Canis lupus familiaris: one gene and its partner. The protein of the gene in region 1 purifies or fractionates together with the protein of each later gene. This does not show direct contact. Links are inferred from orthologs where the notes say so. Each region holds a gene or a part of one and is shown in the gene's direction. Other genes may lie near its edges.

Evidence for each region.
Region 2: the proteins of ITPR1 (region 1) and ERLIN2 purify together in Homo sapiens (affinity purification with western blotting, with the first as the bait; 4 studies listed by BioGRID). This does not show direct contact. The link is inferred for Canis lupus familiaris from reciprocal best matches to the Homo sapiens genes ITPR1 and ERLIN2.

What each region holds. Positions count from the first base shown.
Region 1 is NC_049241.1:12,983,814-12,992,838, reverse strand, and holds part of ITPR1 (inositol 1,4,5-trisphosphate receptor type 1), read left to right. Parts: intron 1-1,110; coding exon 1,111-1,210; intron 1,211-2,402; coding exon 2,403-2,563; intron 2,564-3,060; coding exon 3,061-3,202; intron 3,203-4,910; coding exon 4,911-5,069; intron 5,070-7,170; coding exon 7,171-7,343; intron 7,344-8,715; coding exon 8,716-8,835; intron 8,836-9,025. UniProt on the Homo sapiens protein: Inositol 1,4,5-trisphosphate-gated calcium channel that, upon inositol 1,4,5-trisphosphate binding, mediates calcium release from the endoplasmic reticulum (ER).
Region 2 is NC_049237.1:28,372,037-28,381,580, reverse strand, and holds the start of ERLIN2 (erlin-2), read left to right. Parts: upstream 1-4,708; 5' UTR 4,709-5,095; coding exon 5,096-5,128; exon of another isoform or gene 5,129-5,397; intron 5,398-5,608; coding exon 5,609-5,730; intron 5,731-6,992; coding exon 6,993-7,074; intron 7,075-8,216; coding exon 8,217-8,263; intron 8,264-9,544. UniProt on the Homo sapiens protein: Component of the ERLIN1/ERLIN2 complex which mediates the endoplasmic reticulum-associated degradation (ERAD) of inositol 1,4,5-trisphosphate receptors (IP3Rs) such as ITPR1.

The sequences.
Region 1 (9,025 bases):
TCATTTAAAATAACTAATATTCTAGTGTATGTACTATAATTAGTCCATTATTGAGACATTGGATTGTTTACAGTTTTCCAGTATTGTAAATAATGCTTTGTTTTTATTTGTACTTGTACTGTCATCTCTTAAGTGAAAAATCTAAAAATGGGATTGCTAGATAAAAAGATAGATACATTGTACTTGTTTTATAAAGTGCCAGACTCCCTTCCAGTGTTCCCACCAGGAGTGAGGACAGATCATTTCCCTAAGCTCTTATAAATACTGGGTTATGTCAGTCTCTAAGATCTTTGGAATATGATACAGTAAGATGATATATAGTTTTAATTTGTATAAATTGTATACAAAGGAGATTGAATGTATACTTCCAAGTTTATTGGCCATTTATATTTTGCTTTATTAAATTACTGGCTTATGTTTTTGTCTCATTTTCATTTCCAGTATTGATGTTCTTTTCTTACTGATTTTAAAGATCTCCTTATAAATGCAGATTAATCACCTTTATATGCCATGTGATATTCTTTCATTTTCCCAGGTTGTCTGTCCTTTCTCTTTAAACTCTGTTCATGATTTTTTTTTCTTTATGGAAGATATAAAATTTAAACTGTATTTTAAGGTGTATCCATCTTTTAAAATTTATGACCCTAGTATGTTGCCAAATGTTTCAATGGCTTTCCCTACCACAAGATTATTAAATATTAACTCATTTTATCCTAGTAATTTTATTTTTTGCTTTATTGATCCATATGAAAATTTCAAGTGTTGCTTCATCATCTCTCATGATACATGTTAATATATACTCGGTAAATACTTTTTGTTACCCTGTCTTATGCTCAGTTTGTTCTGAGATACTTTTTCATAGGAATGATCTTGTATTTAGAAATACAGCATATTCCAATGTTAGAATCATTATGATTTCTTATTGTAAGCATATTAGAATACATCTCAGTATGCAGACGTTTTCTCCTTAGTCTATATTGTCTAGTGTATGTAGCAAAAAACCATTTTGGTATCCCTCTGTATTTTGATAGAATATATTTTAGGCCAGGGGCTATAGAGAACCTAAAAATTCCTGTCCTCCAAATCCTTTTTCTTTATTTTCCCCTTTAGAAACTCCTATGTCCGGCTGAGACACCTGTGCACTAATACCTGGGTTCACAGCACAAATATCCCCATTGACAAGGAAGAAGAGAAACCCGTGATGCTTAAAGTAAGTTCTGGAACTTGGCTGTCTCCTTTGGTCTTGTGCTCCCTAATGAAAAAGCTCCTTTGAGAACAGATGGGGGAATAGGGAGCTGTGTTTTGTTGGTTTGGCCAGTGTGTGGTCATGGACAAAGTTGAATGCAATGAAAGAATTCTCTCCATGGGACCTGGCTAAAGCAAGCCCAGGCTTTTTGAAATAACCAGAACTTTTTATTCCATGGCTTTTGCCCTAAAGATTGAGCAATTGTCTGGATTTCTTGTCTGCTTGAAGGATGATTTTAGCTCAGGGAATGTTTGCTTGTGCCTTGAGGCGCATCAGATACCTAATCAGCTTTCCCCAATCTTTATTATTTCTTTATCTCTCTGTGTATTTAAATATACATTTTTTTAAAAGTTCTCTCAGCCCCTTTAATTTCTCTCCCAGAGGCCCACCTCTCCTTCACTACCTTTTCCAGGGTCATAGAACATAAATTCACAAACATAGGGATTTTATTTTTAAAAAGTGAAATTTTTTTTAGTGATGGGGGAGGTTGTTGGAATTTTTTTCTTCTATTTTTATGAACATTTTCAGGTATATAGAAAAATTGAAGGAATGGTACATTGTCTACCCTTATAAAACTGAGTCAGTAATTACCATTTTGCTTATTTGCCTTTTCCTTATGTATTTATAAACATGTTTTTAAATTACAACAGTCTTAACACGCTTCCTTTAATAAATGGAGGTATGGGGTAGCCTGGGTGGCTCAGCGGTTTGGTGCCGCCTTCGGCCCGGGGTGTGATCCTGGGGACCCAGGATTGAGTCCCATGTTGGGCTCCCTGCATGGAGCCTGCTTCTCCCTCTGCCTGTGTCTCTGCCTCTCTCTCTCTCTGTGTCTCTCACTAATAAATGAATAAAATCTTAAATAAATAAATAAATAAATAAATAAATAATGAATGAATGAATGAATGGAGGCAGGAAATGATACCAGAGCCCATTTTCTGCTTCATGCTTCCCCACAGTAAGAATCTCTAGAGAGGTAACAACTGTTAGTGATTTGAGGTACTTCTTTCCAGATATGTTCCTATGTCTTGTTGATTTTAACGGCAAGGTATAGCTCCAGCTTTTTGGATAGCCCAGTGTCCCGTAAATATAGTGCTTGTTTGAAGTTTTGCTTTCTCAATCCAAAAGACAGTTCCATGAAGACCATTTTGCTTTTCAGATTGGCACCTCCCCTGTGAAAGAGGATAAGGAAGCTTTTGCCATAGTTCCAGTTTCTCCTGCTGAAGTTCGGGACCTGGATTTTGCCAATGATGCCAGCAAAGTGCTGGGCTCCATAGCTGGGAAGCTGGAGAAAGGCACCATCACCCAGAATGAAAGAAGGTGAGGCTTCCCACAAGAACCAGACACACTCATCCTCAGCCCCTGGATTTTTTTTTAATCCCTTGCTGCAGAAAGACTAAATGCCAACTGTGAACAGTTTTATGTGAGAGGAACAGGCCTTAGCCTTTATATGTGGCTTCTACTGGTGATTTTCAAGAACCACATTGACTTCTTTGAGTCTCTAAAGTTGAAAAGATCATCTTTTTTCTTTGTCTCTAATTTGGCCTCTGGGGCTACCTAAGTAAATGTTAGGGGCCAGTGTTACTCTGAAATAAAATTTGATGGCTTATATTTTGTGAAGGTGGTTATCCTTTTGTGGACAATAATGTGTTGTGTGTATTTTACTCTTTTTGGTAATTGGTTGTCATGTTTAAGGAAATTGGGAAGAATGGATCTGCTTGTGTTTGACTCATCAGGGCCGAAGTCTTCTAAGGTGAAGCTTCCAACCTATTGGATGTTGACTGTTCCCCATCTCTAATAGCTTCTTTCTCCCTAAGGTCTGTAACCAAGCTACTGGAAGACTTGGTTTACTTTGTCACTGGTGGCACTAACTCTGGTCAAGACGTACTTGAAGTGGTATTCTCCAAGCCCAACAGGGAGCGGCAGAAGCTGATGAGAGAACAGAATATCCTCAGGCAGGTCTGTGAGATGCGACATACCTGCAGTCTTTGTAAGAAATCAGTAGGCTCACTGCTTTTACAGAGAGCATGGATGGCTCCCACCTGGAAGGCTTGATCAACTGACTTTTCAAGAAAAGAGACTTGATTTTTATAGAGCAGTTTTGAGTTCATAACAATAGTGAGTGGACAGCACAAAGTTTATACCTCCTGCCCACACACATGCATAGCCTTACCTATCATTAACATTCACCACTGTAGTGGTGCATTTGATACAGTTGTTAAACCTGCATTGACACATCATAATCCCCCCAAATCTATAGTTTACATTAAGGTTTGCTCTTGGTGTTTGTACACTATTTGGGTTTAGGCCAATGTATAATTACATATCCATTATTACAGTATTATGCAGAATATTTTCACTGTCCTAAAAATCTTCTGTACTGTGCCTATTCATCCCTCATTCCCCTCAACCCCTGGCAACCACTGATCCTTTTACTGCTATCATAGTTTAGCCTTTTCCAGAATGTCATATAGTTGGAATCATACAGTATTTAGTTCTATGTTCTTTCATTTAGTAATATGCATCTAAGATTCCTCTGTAAATTTTCATGGCTTCCTAGCTCAGTTCAGTTGAAAACATACTAGTTGACTATCAACATGTGAGAATTTACCTGTTGGGAACTCCAAGAAGTGTTCACTTGACGACTTCATTTTCGTCAAAAACATTAACAAGTTCTCTGTGTCCTTAAGGTTATTTCATATGTCTGGGAAGATTTGGAGTATTTGATAAATAGTGACCTCTATAAACCATCACAAAATCTTACCATAAAGAATGAATAAATGGCTTACTGGACAAATATAGATAGTATTACCTGGTATAAATTTAAATAAAATGGTGTAAAGATAAATTATAGGGAGGTAAGTGACAAGAGTAGATGAAGTGCACAGAAATGCATACCATATAGTTCTCTACAGCTATATATTGGCTACATACTTGGCTTAGAAATTCCTGGCCACTAAAATCCAAAGAGAAACCTATTCATTACTAGTCCTGTAGTTCTCCATGGGAACTTGGGATTTGAGAATCCTTTCTCCTGTCAGTTGATGATAGACAAAATTTATTAAAACTCCATCATGTTTCAGCAAGGATTTCCAGTCCAAGAATAAATTATGTCCAGCTGTTCCATGGGATGACTCCCAGATTAGACCTCTGGCTTAATGCCAATGCTCATTTCCACAGTGGTAATTCCTTGAGGGGCCAGAATGATCAGATTCCAGGGCAGAAACCTTCACTGAGCACTATATTTATGCAACTGACAATTATTATCTACTTTATCCTTAAGACCCCCTTGTAACTCAGTGATATTCTTTCCATTTTACTGATGAGAAAACCAAAAGCTACCTTGACTGTGCTTTATACCACTAGGGAATAATGCAGGAGTGAGTTCAACTTAAAATTTGCTAATTCCAAAGTCTATACTTTTAACCACTGCCCTACACACCACACTTGCAAGTGTTTGAGGACCAATAAGGTCCAGGTGGCCTGAATTCAGTGAGTAGCCAGTCTCAGTTGATGGATTGTGTGTAATTTTCAGATTATTGATGTTGATCTAGAAAGATTTGCCTGTGCAGTCCCACCACCTGTGAGGTTGTATTAGTTTAAGACCAAGGGTTAGCCATTAACTCTGTAAATGATGGCAGCATTCATTCTTCCTTCTCACAATCAGATCTTCAAGTTGTTACAAGCCCCATTCACAGACTGTGGCGATGGCCCCATGCTGCGGCTGGAGGAGCTTGGGGATCAGCGGCATGCCCCATTCAGACATATCTGCCGGCTCTGCTACAGGGTCCTGAGACACTCCCAGCAAGACTACAGAAAAAACCAGGTTGGTATTCGGGATGGATGGGAAGTAATGGGCAGCTTCATCCCTGAAGTTCATGTACTCGCCTCATGAGTTTTAAGTCTCACATCTATAGTTACTTAATGACTAGAGATTAGTTTATTAAGTTCACGCTTAGAAAGGAAATAAATTTTTGCAAGCCTCAGAAGATAGAGTCCTTAAGAAAGATGCCAGAGAAGTTCCCTTCTGCAGCCACCTTTCAATGAGAGTTTTCTTTTGGCATTGGTATTACATTTTTATTGCCTTATGGAAAATGATTACATGGGTTTATATTAAAGGAAGAGTGGAATCTTTTCTTCCTGCTCCCTTCCATAGTCTACATGTCTGCTGGTAACTTTATTTTGATTTTGGCTCATATTTTATGACATTCTAAGTCCTTGTCTATGTCATGGCACTATATATATTATCCTCTCCCCATGAAATAAATGTTCTAACCTCTCTGGGGTTTCCCATTATTTTGGTATTTTAAGGAAGCCTGTGAACTGTGTTACACATTTAGTAGTTCTCAGCTGGAACTAATATTGTCCCCCAGGAAGTATTTGACAATTTCAGGGGACCCTTTTGAGTGTCACAACTTGGAGGTGCTCCTGGCACCTAGTGGATAGAAGCCACTGATGCTACTAAATATCCAGGAATGCACAGGACATCCCCATCTGCAAATAGTTATCCAGCCCGATAGTCCGTAGTGCTGAGGTTGAGAGGCCCTGCACTATGTTACTCTAAGTACTGTAGGTGCATAGATGATGCTTATGAAAACCTTGATTCCCAGTCTCTGCGTTGTGTTACAAAAAGCTTTTGTTTGTAAACTTTTGACTGCCTCAACATCTGGCCTTTAAATTTAAGCTTTTCTCTGTAATTAAGGTTTTTTATATTTTGTCATGAAGATAGTATTAAACTTAAGCAATGCTCTAAAGTATTAGATATAATGTTGTTAGCAAATATTGCTAAGCTTTTGACTTTGCCTTTGGTATTGTTGAAATTAAAAGTATCCTATACCTATGATGTTGCGTTCATTAATCTGGACAGGTGGTCTTTGGGTGCTCTGATTGCTTTAAATTCACCTGCGGTGTGTCAATACCATACTCAAATAGTGCCAAAGAGATTTTATTCTCTTTCTCTGCTATCTTCAGATAAGGATGCATTGGAGCCTGTAGTGTGTGCCAGCACATTTTGCTTCTACATGAAAAGACCAAACCATTCCCTCTTACTGCTGCTACATTGACTATCTCTGCTTATTATTTATGGATTCTATGCCACTTGGCATAAGTGTATCTTTGAGGGCTGGTGAATTCCTAAATGTGCATCCTTATTGAGCATGGGCTGAAAAGTGGCCAGTGTCCACTGTGGACACTCTGAGTAGTTTTTAGGTTTTTGGAATTAATTTTAAAAAATTAAGCCAAGTTTCAAGGGCTTTTGGAACTTTCAGTAAACAAATTGTCTTGGGAAGGGAAATATTTTTGAATAGAAAGAAGCAATATCTTCAAGAGGCTTCCCTGAGTTCCTCATATATTGTTATGGAACATCATGTCTGATCCCCAAAGAGAGAAGCCAGAGATGTTGTCATAGGTTCTATGAATCTGGTTGACTGGCTTAGGTATTCCTAACTTGCTTCTGCTACCCATTGGCTATAAAAATGTATTTTCACCCCAGTTAAAGAATACAGAATGGGGTAATATTGTTCTAAATAGCTAGGTAGGCTTAAGTATATTTATTCAGCAGCATAGAGGAGCAAGGCACAGTTAAATCCTCTTGAATTAGTAATAAAATCAGAGCTGAAAAACAGCTTTTGACCTTTTAGGAAAATAAGTCACCACATTAATATTTATACTGTGCACTTACTAAAATGCCCATCTGTACATACAGGATAATTTGCTTAATTACATTTGTGTGGCAGGTTTAGTAAAATGAAGGATGTGGGGGAGTTTGCAGCTGCTATCCTAGATTAGAAAGTTGTGGAAAGATGCTCCACTAGGATTTCCCTTACAAACAATCATTCTCATCAGGGACTGTTGCTGTTTTCCTCAGTTTTGGGTTGAACTTAATATTTTTTGGTCTCTCTGTCAACCTTTCTTTTCTTCCTTAAAAGGAGTACATAGCCAAGCAGTTTGGCTTCATGCAAAAACAGATTGGCTACGATGTGTTGGCCGAAGACACCATCACTGCCCTGCTTCACAATAACAGAAAACTCCTGGAAAAACACATCACCGCTGCTGAGATCGACACATTTGTCAGTCTGGTGCGAAAGAACAGGGAGCCCAGGTGAGGCGGAGGTGGGCCTGATTGGCAGAATGTGTCTGACCAAACCAGTCATGGTGCTTTGGGCTGGGTTTCCTTTTTGAGGGCTGCCAGAGGCAGATGTCATTTAGGCCAGTCTTGAGAGGCTCTTGGATGAGTAGCGGAAAGAACAGACCTGTGGTGGAATCCTAGCTCTAACATTTACCAGCTGGGTGACCTTCACTTTCCCCTTGAGCTTTAATTTCCTTCTATGCTAAATGGATGGTTATGAAAATTGAATGAGAATAAATGCATGTGAAGTACCTGGTACTTCGTAGATGCTCAGTCAATGGCAGATAGCACTGGCCACTCAGTGACCATGTAGTACCCCCCGATTATCAGTTAGAACACTTCCCCCAAATATCATAAGAGTTTTTTTTTGCAAACTTAGTTGTTACTTGAGTGTTTTTATTTTATGTTAGGATTCTATCATTTCTCATTCTCATAGATCTCCCCACCTTCTTCCTCTCTTCCCTCTTTTCTTCTCCTGATTCAGATCCACAACATTGGGGCAACTGGGTGACTCAGTCGGTTTAGTACCTGCCTTCACCTCAGGTCATGATCCTGGGGTCCTGGGATCGAGCCCCACATTGGGCTCCCTGCTCAACAGGGAGTCTGCTTCTCCCTCTCCCTCTGCCCTTTCCCCTGCTCGTGCTTTCTCTCTCTTTCTCAAATAAATAAATATTTTTTATATATAAAAAAAAAGATCCACAACATTTTAGAAGTAGGAAATAGCTTATAATATAGATATCGTGAACAATCACACTGGAGAGCTGATAGTGTTGTTACAAAATGACTCCTCCCACCCATGAAGTTAAATGATGCCTTGTGGAGCATTCTCATGTACCAGGGAGTGAACTAAACCAGCACTTGACATGAATTAGCTTATTTAATCTTCAGGACAGTTCTCTGAGGTTATACATTATCCTCTTCTGTGGATGAGAAAAGTGTAATACAGCAAGGTCAAGAAATTTCTCCAAGTCACACTGCATATCAGAACATAACTAAAGGAGAATCAGCACAGGGATTCCAACTCAGGCCTCAGAGCCTTTCCTAACTTCTCTGGTCCCCCTCCATCCACTGCTTCCTTATGTGGATGTCTTCCTTCTTTTCATTTTTGCCTCATCACTTCTCCATCTGCCCCAGTCATGGCCGCTTTCCTCTTCTGCCTCTTTCTTTCTTTTCTTATGGTGACTGGGTTCCTGGTGGTGCTGTAGATGCTGGCAGCCAAACCTGAAATGTCTCTGATTTCTTTTGTCCAAGGTATGGACTGTCCACTTAGCAGAGTCAGGCTCCAAGAGCCAAACCTCCTCTCTGGCTACAGAAAATGTTTTGTTTGCTTTCTCTTTCTCGACAGATTCTTAGATTATCTCTCTGACCTCTGTGTGTCCATGAACAAATCGATCCCAGTGACCCAAGAACTAATATGTAAAGCCGTGCTGAATCCAACCAATGCCGACATCCTAATTGAGACCAAGTGAGTGGGGAAGGGAGTAGTCTTGGGATTTAAGATACAGATGAGAAAAAGATTTAGATAGAGCTTGTACGGTTCAGTGGATGTCTGCACTCCTGACTAAGAGAACTTTACCCTTTTGGGTGAAGACTTGGTCTGAAGTCAGACAGGCTGGCATGAGATCTGTCTAATGCAAAGGTCTTGGATAAGGGAA
Region 2 (9,544 bases), on another chromosome or scaffold:
GTGCTCTCTCTCACATGCTTACACTCTTTTGCTCTCTAATATATAAATAAAATCTTTTAAAAAATAAAAAGAAGCCAGACATACCCTCCCCTGCAAAATGAGTCCATACTGTATGATTCCTTTTGTATAAGATTGTACAAAATGCAAACTAATCTATAGTGACAAGATCAGCTGTTGCTTGAAAATTGGGGTTGCAGGATCATGGAGGGGGTAGGAGGGGGAGATTGTCAAGGAGATGAGGAAATGTGGGGGCATGATGCATGTGTTCATTATCTGGATTGTGGTAATGGTTTCACAGGTGTATACATATGTCAAAACTTATCAAGTTATACACTCTATATACACTTTATTGTGGGCCAATTATACCTCAATAAAGCTGTAAAAACATATCATCACAAAATGATCTTTAGGTGACTTCCAACCGACTTCCAACTCCATTTTTTTTTTCATGAATCCCCTTTGATCCCTTTACCAAACTCCTTTGAAGAAAATATTATCAGCCCCGGGTAAATATCCTTTTGTTCTTAAAAGGAACCAATCCTGGTTTTTGCAACTGAAAATAAGAGGGGGAATGTTGTAAGTAACCCCCTTCATGATTATTAGGGACATAATTCTTCACTTCTCTTCTCCCAAGCTCACCAAAATCTTACTGGGATCCAATGTCCTGAAAGAAGACCTCTATTTCCTGTTTTAGCGCATAAAGAAGAAAAATCAAAAACTTTTTCCAGCAACGTCCAATCTTGCACTACAGATGAAGCCCAAGATTCTAAGAGTTGCCTGGTTCCTTTGGCCAACCTGGTTATTAATAATTTTGCTCTAACTGTGCAAAAAGGGAGTCTCTTCTCTCTTTGGAGTGGCTCTCTCACCAACAAGCTTAGTAAGAGGACCAAACAAACAGCTATCCAGAGAGAGCAAGATGTGGGTGGTTGGGGTGAGACTACGTTTTATCCTGCTCCAACCCACAACTGCAAAATAAACTGGTCCGATTTAAAGTTTTGCAATTTCTCACCACTGGTCTACATTCCTAAAAGGTTACATGTGAGATAAATGTGCTAACTCTGTGTGTGTGTGTGTGTGTGTGTGTACGCGTATGTGTGTGTGTGTTTTAAGTTGAATCATTATTTTCCCATTCATTTACTATAAGAAAGAAATAGACTTGGGATCACATGGATTCTGCTTTGCAATATACAAGTTTTGTGGTCTTGGGCAATCCCTTGACTTCTCCAAGCTTTAACTTCCTCCTCTAACATGGAGTTGATCTCAAAGGGCTGACCTCAAGATCATATAAAATGAGAATGGCATAGGGCCTGGTACGTGGAAAGCACTAGATAATGCTTCGAAATTTGTATTGTAAATAAATATCTGTTGAAGTAGAATTTCAGAGTCCCTTATCTCTCCTTTTGATAAGCCTTCATTTGGTTATTACTCAATACCACATAACTTTAAGCTTATCCTTCTCTCACCTTCTGTCACATTAATAATCCAAATCCACAAACAGACAAGAACATGTTACAGGAATTTGCTATTTAAAGCAGCAACAGCTAACATTATTGAAGACTTAAAATGTGCCAAACATTGTGTATGCTTTTTTTCTTGAAGTATAGGTGATATACAATGTCATATTAGTCTCATGTCCACAACACAGTGATCTAACAATTCTGTACATGACTCAGTGCTCACTATGATAAGTGTAGTCACCATCTGTCACCAAACAACATAATTACAATATTATTGTCCATATTCCCTATGCTGTACTTTTCATCTTCATGACTTAATTATTTTATAACTGGAAGTTTGTGCCTCTTAATCCCTTTTGCCTATTTCACCTATCCACCCACCTACTTCCTTTCTGGAAAGTACCAGTTTGTTCTCTGTATTTAAGAGCCTGGTGTTTTGCTTGTTTGTTCATTTGTTGTTTTTTAGATTCCACATATAAGTGAAATCATATGGCATTTGTCTTTTTCTGTCTGACTTATTTCACTTACCATAATACCCACTAGGTCCATCCATGTTGTTACAAGTGGCAAAACTTCATTCTGTTTTATGGCTGAATAACGTTTGTGTATATATACCCCACATACGCCACTACCATTCATCTAGGGATGGACACTTGGGCTGCTTCCACATCGTGGCTATCGTAAATAATGCTGTAATAAACATAGTGGTGCATGTATCTTTTCAAATTAGTGTTTTCATTTTCTTTGGATAAATATCCAGTAATGGAATTACTGGATCATATGGTATTTCTACTTTTAATTTTTTGAGAAACCTCCATATTGCTTTCCACTGTGGTCATACCAATTTACATTCCTAACAACAGCACATGAGGGTTCCCTTTTCACCACATCCTGGCCAGCACCTGTTATTTCTTGTCTTTTTGAGTCTAGCCATTCTGATAGGTGTGAAGTGTTATCTCATTGTGTAAGTGCTTTCCTTGATCAGCCATTTATTGCTTACAACAGTCCTAGAAGGTTTATACTATTATTGCCCCCATTTTATAGATAAAGAAATTGGAGCACAGATAGATTAATTCATTTTCCAAGGTCACACAGCTAACAGGAGGCGTGGAGTGGAGTGAAGGGGTAGGATTCAAATTCAGCAATCTGACTGTGGAGTATCTACACTTAACCGCAACTCTTTTACCACAAGTTGTTTTTTAAAAATGGGTTTTTAAACACTTTTGTTAAATCATCACAGGCTTACCTGCTGCTTGATAATGCTGGATATTGTCAGAAAAATCACAGGGGGCCTTAAGAAAATGATTTTCAGAAATGCTAGACCATCTACTGAAGTTCATCCCCAGCCTCTAGGCAATGCCACAGTTAAATAGCTCAGGCCTGGCAAAAAGCTTCTTGAGAACAGAATCCCACAACTTCCACTCACAGTTCATGCCAAAGTTGAACAGTCAGGAAATTCTTAAATTACAACTAATTCAGATCCTTTATGCTGCACATGAAGGCCCATCGCTTGGGCTGATAAACCTCAATATTTCCATTTTTCTGACTCATTCACTCAACTATTAAATAAACGTATTAAGTGCGACCAGCTGAATTATATCACTGAGCCCGTAGACAAAAAGCCCTTAGGTGCCGAAAGGATGGATCAGGAGATTGGCCAGCTGGGAGGAGGGGGGATTTGTAGCCACAGGCTAAGACAAGAGCCCTCACTGACAGAGGTGGGCACACCGAGTGCCCAGGCAGCAGCACCAGGCAGCCACGTGTGGGCTTCACCATTCAATGCCAAGGCATCCCAGCACAGACTCATCCAGAGCAAACCCAGGGTGAATTCCAAGCAGATACGCCTGGAAAACCTATGCTTTCCTTTGCCTGTGTCCTGAATCTGTCTACCACCACCATCTTGCCATCTTCTCTGTGTAAAAGCTTTTCATTTACTGAGGGCTGCAATTAAGTGGACGTTCTCTCCTGCAAACAAAAATAACTTCAGCAGCTGAATTAGAAAGGCCCCAGCGCGCTGCTGCTGAACAGCCAAGGCTGCGGACAATGTGAAGCCCTCAGACCAGGACACTCGAGGTCAGGATCCTGCTCCTGATGCCACGGTGCCTCCAGTGTGCACTTACTGAGCACGGGAAGTGCAGACGCAGCCCCTGCCCTCAGGGAGCTTACAGTCCTGTAAGGGGGGGGGGGGCGGCGTAAGCTAAGCTGGCCGGTGTTACAAAGGCAGTTAAGCTCCCGATGGTTAAGAAGCGCCAAGGAGGCTTTCATCCACTGTCACCCTCGCGCCTCACTGAGCTCAAGATTCTGCTAAAACTCGAATAATTCCTTCTTCAGCTGTTGAAATAGTGCCGTGAGGACCTCAAAGGCCAAGGATCCTAAAAAAAAAAAAAAAAAAAAAAAAAAAAGCATAAAGGGCAATCCCAAATAGGGACTGTTTGTTGATGAACGAGGTCACGGTGCTAATGCACGCACTAAAAGATGTGCTAGGTTCCGCCGCGCCGTAGAAAAGCGCGAGCAGAGGGCGAGAAGGGCTGCAGCTCGCTGTACCCGCTCCGAAAAACAACACACGCGGGGCGCGGGGGGCGGGGAGATCCGGAGCAAATTCCGAAGCTGGAACTTCGGAAAGCGACACCCTCAGTCACTCAGCACCGCGGCCACTAGCGTTCTCCGCCGCGTCACCCTCCAGGCGCTGCGCACCGTCCCCACCCGCGAAGCCTAAACCCAGGTCCTGACCCGCCGGACCCAGCCGCGGGCGCCGCCTGGTGCCCATGCGCGGACTCCGACAGGTCGGAGCGCGGGGGCGGGGCTGGCGCGCTAAGGGTGGGGGCTCTTCTCGCGTGAACTAATGGCGTCATCAGAGCGACGGGCCCGGAAGGAAGTAGCGTGTGGAGGGCGTGGCGGTTTCTACGGTTGCCCTGGGGTTCGGACGAGTACGGAGCGCCTGGAGGGACAGCCTGGTACGCGGCCCCCGCCCCTTAGCGTGCGCGCTGGGCCTAGTTGCGGCTCCCGGCCGGAGCTTCTCAGCGGTCCTCCCGGGCCCCGGGCCCAGCCACCCCCCTCCCTCAGGACCAAGAAAGCCATCCCTGTCTGTTCCGTCCCTTCCCCGCGAGCCCCGAGCGCTTGGGACGCGCGACCCCCTGTCGGGGGAGGGCAGGGAAGGGGCGGGGAGGGGAGGGGAGGGGAGGGGAGGGGAGGGGGGCACTTGCAGACAGGACGCAGCTGCAGATCGGTAGCTGGAGTCGGTCACGGTAAAAGCAGCGCCTTGCAGATGTCCGAGCCCGAGTCCTGTTAGCCCCGGGAGGCGGGGTCCACGCCCCGCGCGGGGGCCCCCGGGCCGCCTGACTGGGAGCTTCTTCCGTTGCCATCGTTTTTCCAGATCCTTCAGGGCCCGGGAAATGAGCCTGGACGCCAGCTGTCTGTCCTCCTGGCGCTGGCACTCCCTGGGACCCGGGACCCCGGTCTTCCCACCCTGGGGAGCCCTCTTCTGCTCTAACCCTGCGCTTGGGGACCCGTCGGGTGCAAAGTGCCAGTCAAGTGTACGGGAGGGTGTATTCAGAGCCCTCCCCTGCCGCTTAGGGCCGAAGGAATAACTGGGAAGGTGGACGGAAGGCCAGAGAACCCCACCGTGCAACTCTGCTCACATGCTGCCTCTGTCGCCCCAGCATCTGAAAGGAGTAAATAATGGTTTCCTTTGGAGTGGCAGGCAATTAGGACGGCAGGCTCTGACCAGCATTACACAGCCACAACTGCCTGTCACTTGACATCCTCTGTAATTTGGGCAACCTACTGCAGCTGCCTCTCTTCCCTTTTACTAGTAGGAGTGTCTCCAGTGACAGCACATTCGTGTTCCCAGGAAGAGAAGGCTGTGTTCTGAACGCTGCCCAGTTGGCTCTGCTTCTCTCTCGGGCCCGGCTGTCTCTGGGGCCACTGCCTCCTCAAGGAGGTAGGGAATATAATCCCACAGTGAAGGAAGGAGTGGGAACGTTGCCTGAGAGCAAGCATGAGGCGGGTTGTTGGCGTAGCCTTGTGTTCAGGCTTCAACAGGCTGGGTCTGAGCCACTTGCAGGAAGCTCAGCTTAGTGAGGGGCTCTTCCTGTCACGGCTTTTCTCGTGCATGTCGGGCCACACACATTTTCCTGCGTCTTTTTCCCCAGGATACAGGTTCGCTGATGGCTCAGTTGGGAGCAGTTGTGGCTGTGGCTACCAGTTTCTTTTGTGCATCTCTCTTCTCAGCTGTGCACAAGATAGAAGAGGGACATATTGGGGTGTATTACAGGTAAGGAAGAGACAGGAAGAAGCTTGCAACTTCCTGTTAAATGACTTTCCTAGTCACTGGCCGATTCTATTGGACATCTGTGAATATTGAGTAGAGGAGTCTTTTAGATTGAGCTGTTGTGTCAGTGACCATGGAAACAGGTGTACACCCACACTCATATACATTTATAAAACTTAATCTTACATTGATGCCATGGATGGCGAACCATAAATGTGTATAGAGATTTAGAGACAAAATCTGAAGGAAACCAGTGCTTGCAGATCATCCCTGAAACATTGTTTTCCCCTATATCCCTTGCAGGCATCCTGGTGCCACAAAGTTACCTCCAGTGAGCACCAGTTCATGATGGCCACTTGAGGAGCTGGCCTGCTCCGCTAGTTTGTACCCACTCATTAAAATTAACATTTCAAGAAAAAAGAAGAATCCTGCAGATTGACATATATCTGTCAAGGCAAGCCCTAGGATAGTAGTTCTTACAAGAAAGGAACCCAGTTGTGTTACTGTCTATTTTGTTACTCTCTTTTTTGAAAAAAAAAAAAAAATAGTGTATTTTCTTCATAATACAAAGCAAAGAAGCACTTCTAAATCTTGGGTTGCTTTCCTTCCAGTAACCTCCATGACCAAGTCTTTTGCTTTAAGTCTTTATGAATTCCTCCTTATATATGCCCAAGATGCCTATTCCTGGACTGCCAGTAGCAAGTTCTGGAAGCCTCATTGGGCTCCACTCTCTGCTTTATTTCTCCCCACATTCTGCTCATATGTCCCCCAAAAAGGCTTTAATTTTGTTACCCTTTACACATAACTTGGTTATAAAGGTAATTCTGCCCAAAAAAAAGTACATATATGTTTTTTAAAGCATTCTGAAAATTATTCTTTTGCTTGTTCGTGCCCCTGGACTCCAACATTACTGCAGTTGATTGGATAATTGTATTACTGGACTTAACCGCCCCCATGGATTGCCGCAATGGATATGACCAAGTGAAACTTCTCATCTGTTAAGGATTGCCGGGGATCCTGCTGTCTTCATTCCGCCTAGCCCATGTGCCTATTTTCCTGCTGCAAAAGCATGAATAATGGTTTTATGTTTTACTATCAGGCTTCCTATAATATGAGGGTTGAGCTGAGAGGAAGGGGTCTGTGGACATGGCTCAGGCACGTGTCACTGTATGAAACATGTATGGGACTATAGAGAAAGTCAGTGCAAATAGTATTGCTGTGATCAATACCTCTTGCTAAACTGTTTCTCTCTTCCTCCTCTGCAGAGGTGGAGCCCTCCTGACTTCTACCAGCGGCCCAGGTTTCCATCTCATGCTTCCTTTCATCACCTCATATAAGTCTGTGCAGGTAAACTCAGTGTGTAGGGTGTGTTTGAGCCACTGCAGGTTTGGGGTGTTTACCAACACATGATTTGGAATTATTTCCCATTACATGAGTATAATGCCTTTTCAAGGAATCATATATACAGGATTCCTTGATAGGATCTATGTCCTGTAGATATATATGATATATATATATGTTTATGTATATATACATATATATGTGTGTGTGTGTGTGTATATATATATATATAAAGAATGAGGCTCCATGAACCACATACTCTAGAGCTTTATTTGACTGTTGAAATAGCTGAATGGGGTCATTGCATTGGCCCATCACTCCCAGCTGGGAATTATTTTTTCACTTCAAGGTAGAGCCAGAGAAGAATCAGTTCTGAATGTATAGAAGGAGAAGTAGGATGTGTGTGTCTGTGTGTTTAAATCACAGGCTACCAAGATAAATGGAAATGAAACACAGTAATTTTGCTGGTTCTTGTTTGAACTTCATAGATGTAAACATAATTTGGAGGGTTAGGGGAAAGGAAAGTTGGACTTGGTGAAGGGAAATGACATTTGAAGGAAAAGTAGGATTAGTTATGATAGATCTAAAGCCTGGCTAAGTTAAACTAGCCATCTTTGAAGTATGTCCAGCTACAAGGGTTAAGGAGATTTAGAAAATGACTTTTAAACTGACCCAGGAAAATATCCTGGAGCACCTCATCAGCATTCTCTGTTCATTTCTTCTGCCATTTCCTGTGCTTGATGGTTTTCAGAGTGCATTTATGCCCAGGATCTCAGGAGTCTAACAGTAATTCTGAGAAGGGGTTGAGCCAGGTTAAATACAGAATCCTCTTGTTTTGAGACTAGTAAAGAAGACAGCAGAGGTAAAGATGGGTCTTAAGACTCCTAATCCAGGGTTGTTTTCATTAAACCATTTTTACTCAGCTTTTTCGTGTGATGATTCACTTACAGTGAGGCTGGGCTTGCGTACCTTTGTTCGTCTGGGCCTCACACTCTGTGTAAATAAAGATTAGGCTGAGTGTTCATGTTTAACAAGGGCAAAGCTCAACCCAGTTAACCTCAAGGACCAGGCCATTTGGGATTCCAAAACTAAGCTACTTTGCTCAGCACTGCCCATCTTACATCCTTTTATGTCTCTTCTATTTCTAGACCACACTGCAGACAGATGAGGTGAAGAACGTGCCATGCGGAACTAGGTAAGGTGCCTGGAGTGAAGCAGTCAAGCCTGCATTAGCGGGAGGGCCATCTGGCTACAGTTATAGACCGTGAAGAGAAGCATTCCTTCTGGGTGGTTCCACCAAGTTCCCTGCCTTCTGGCTCGCTAGGTGCCAGTGTGACTAGGCAGTGCAGTGCAGTAGGGAAAATCACAGAAGGTAGACAGGTTTGGGAGGGCCTTGAATGCTGTGGTAAGTTTGGGCTTTTTCTGTGACAAGTGAAGATCCACCAGAAGCTTTTAGCAGATAAATGACTTGATAGAAGAAGGTACGTTTAGCATAACCAGCTATGGAGAATGTCGTAAAGGTGGAGGGTGACCTTGGGGGGTCTGGAAATCCAAGCAGAACACCAGTCTGGTAGTCTGATTGGAAGGTAAAGATCTAAATTGGAATAAAGTAAGAGGGATACCTGGGTGGCTCAGTGGTTGAGCATCTACCCTTAGCTCAGGGCATGATCCTGGGGTCCTGGGATCAAGTCCTGCATCAGACTCCTCACAGGGAGCCTGCTTCTCCCTCTGCCTATGTCTCTGCTTCTCTCTGTGTGTCTCTTATGAATAAATAAATAAAATCTTTAAGAAAAGAAAAAAGGAATAGAGTAACAAACACCACCACAGGGAAACATTCAAGGAGGGCAAATCCAGGATTAGGGCATCACACAGGACAAATGGCCTGATTGCATCACAAGGAGGAGCTTTGGGTTGTAAAGGAGACATGAAAGACATTAACAAAGCAATGATGAGCCTTAATTAGAACCTGGTTCAAGAACACCATCTATGAAAGACACAGGGGGACTGTCAGCTCGGGTGGCCATAAGAGAGTGCCACAGACTGAGTGGAAACTCAGAGTCCAAGGTGCCAGCAAAGTTGGTTTCTAGTGAAGCCTCTTTTCCTCGCTTGCAGATGGCCACTATGCCGTGTCCTCATGTGCCCTTTCCTCCATGCACACAGAGAGAAAATCTCTGGTGTCTGCCTCTTTGCCTTTACCAGGCCGATCAGGTTAGGGCCCCACCTATGGCTTCATGGAGCCTTAATTACTACCTTAAGGCCCTATCTCAATACAGTCACATGGGGGTTTTATTTAGAATTTCAGCAAGTTGATTTTTGAAGGGCACACAATTCAGCCCATAACAGGAAAATTGGGGAGACTGGAATAAGGACTGGGTATTAGACGCTGTTAAGGAATTACTGCTAATTTTCTTAGGTTTGGGAACAGAGTTAGACTACATAGGAGAATGTCATTATTCCTTGGTGAGTGTTGCTTACT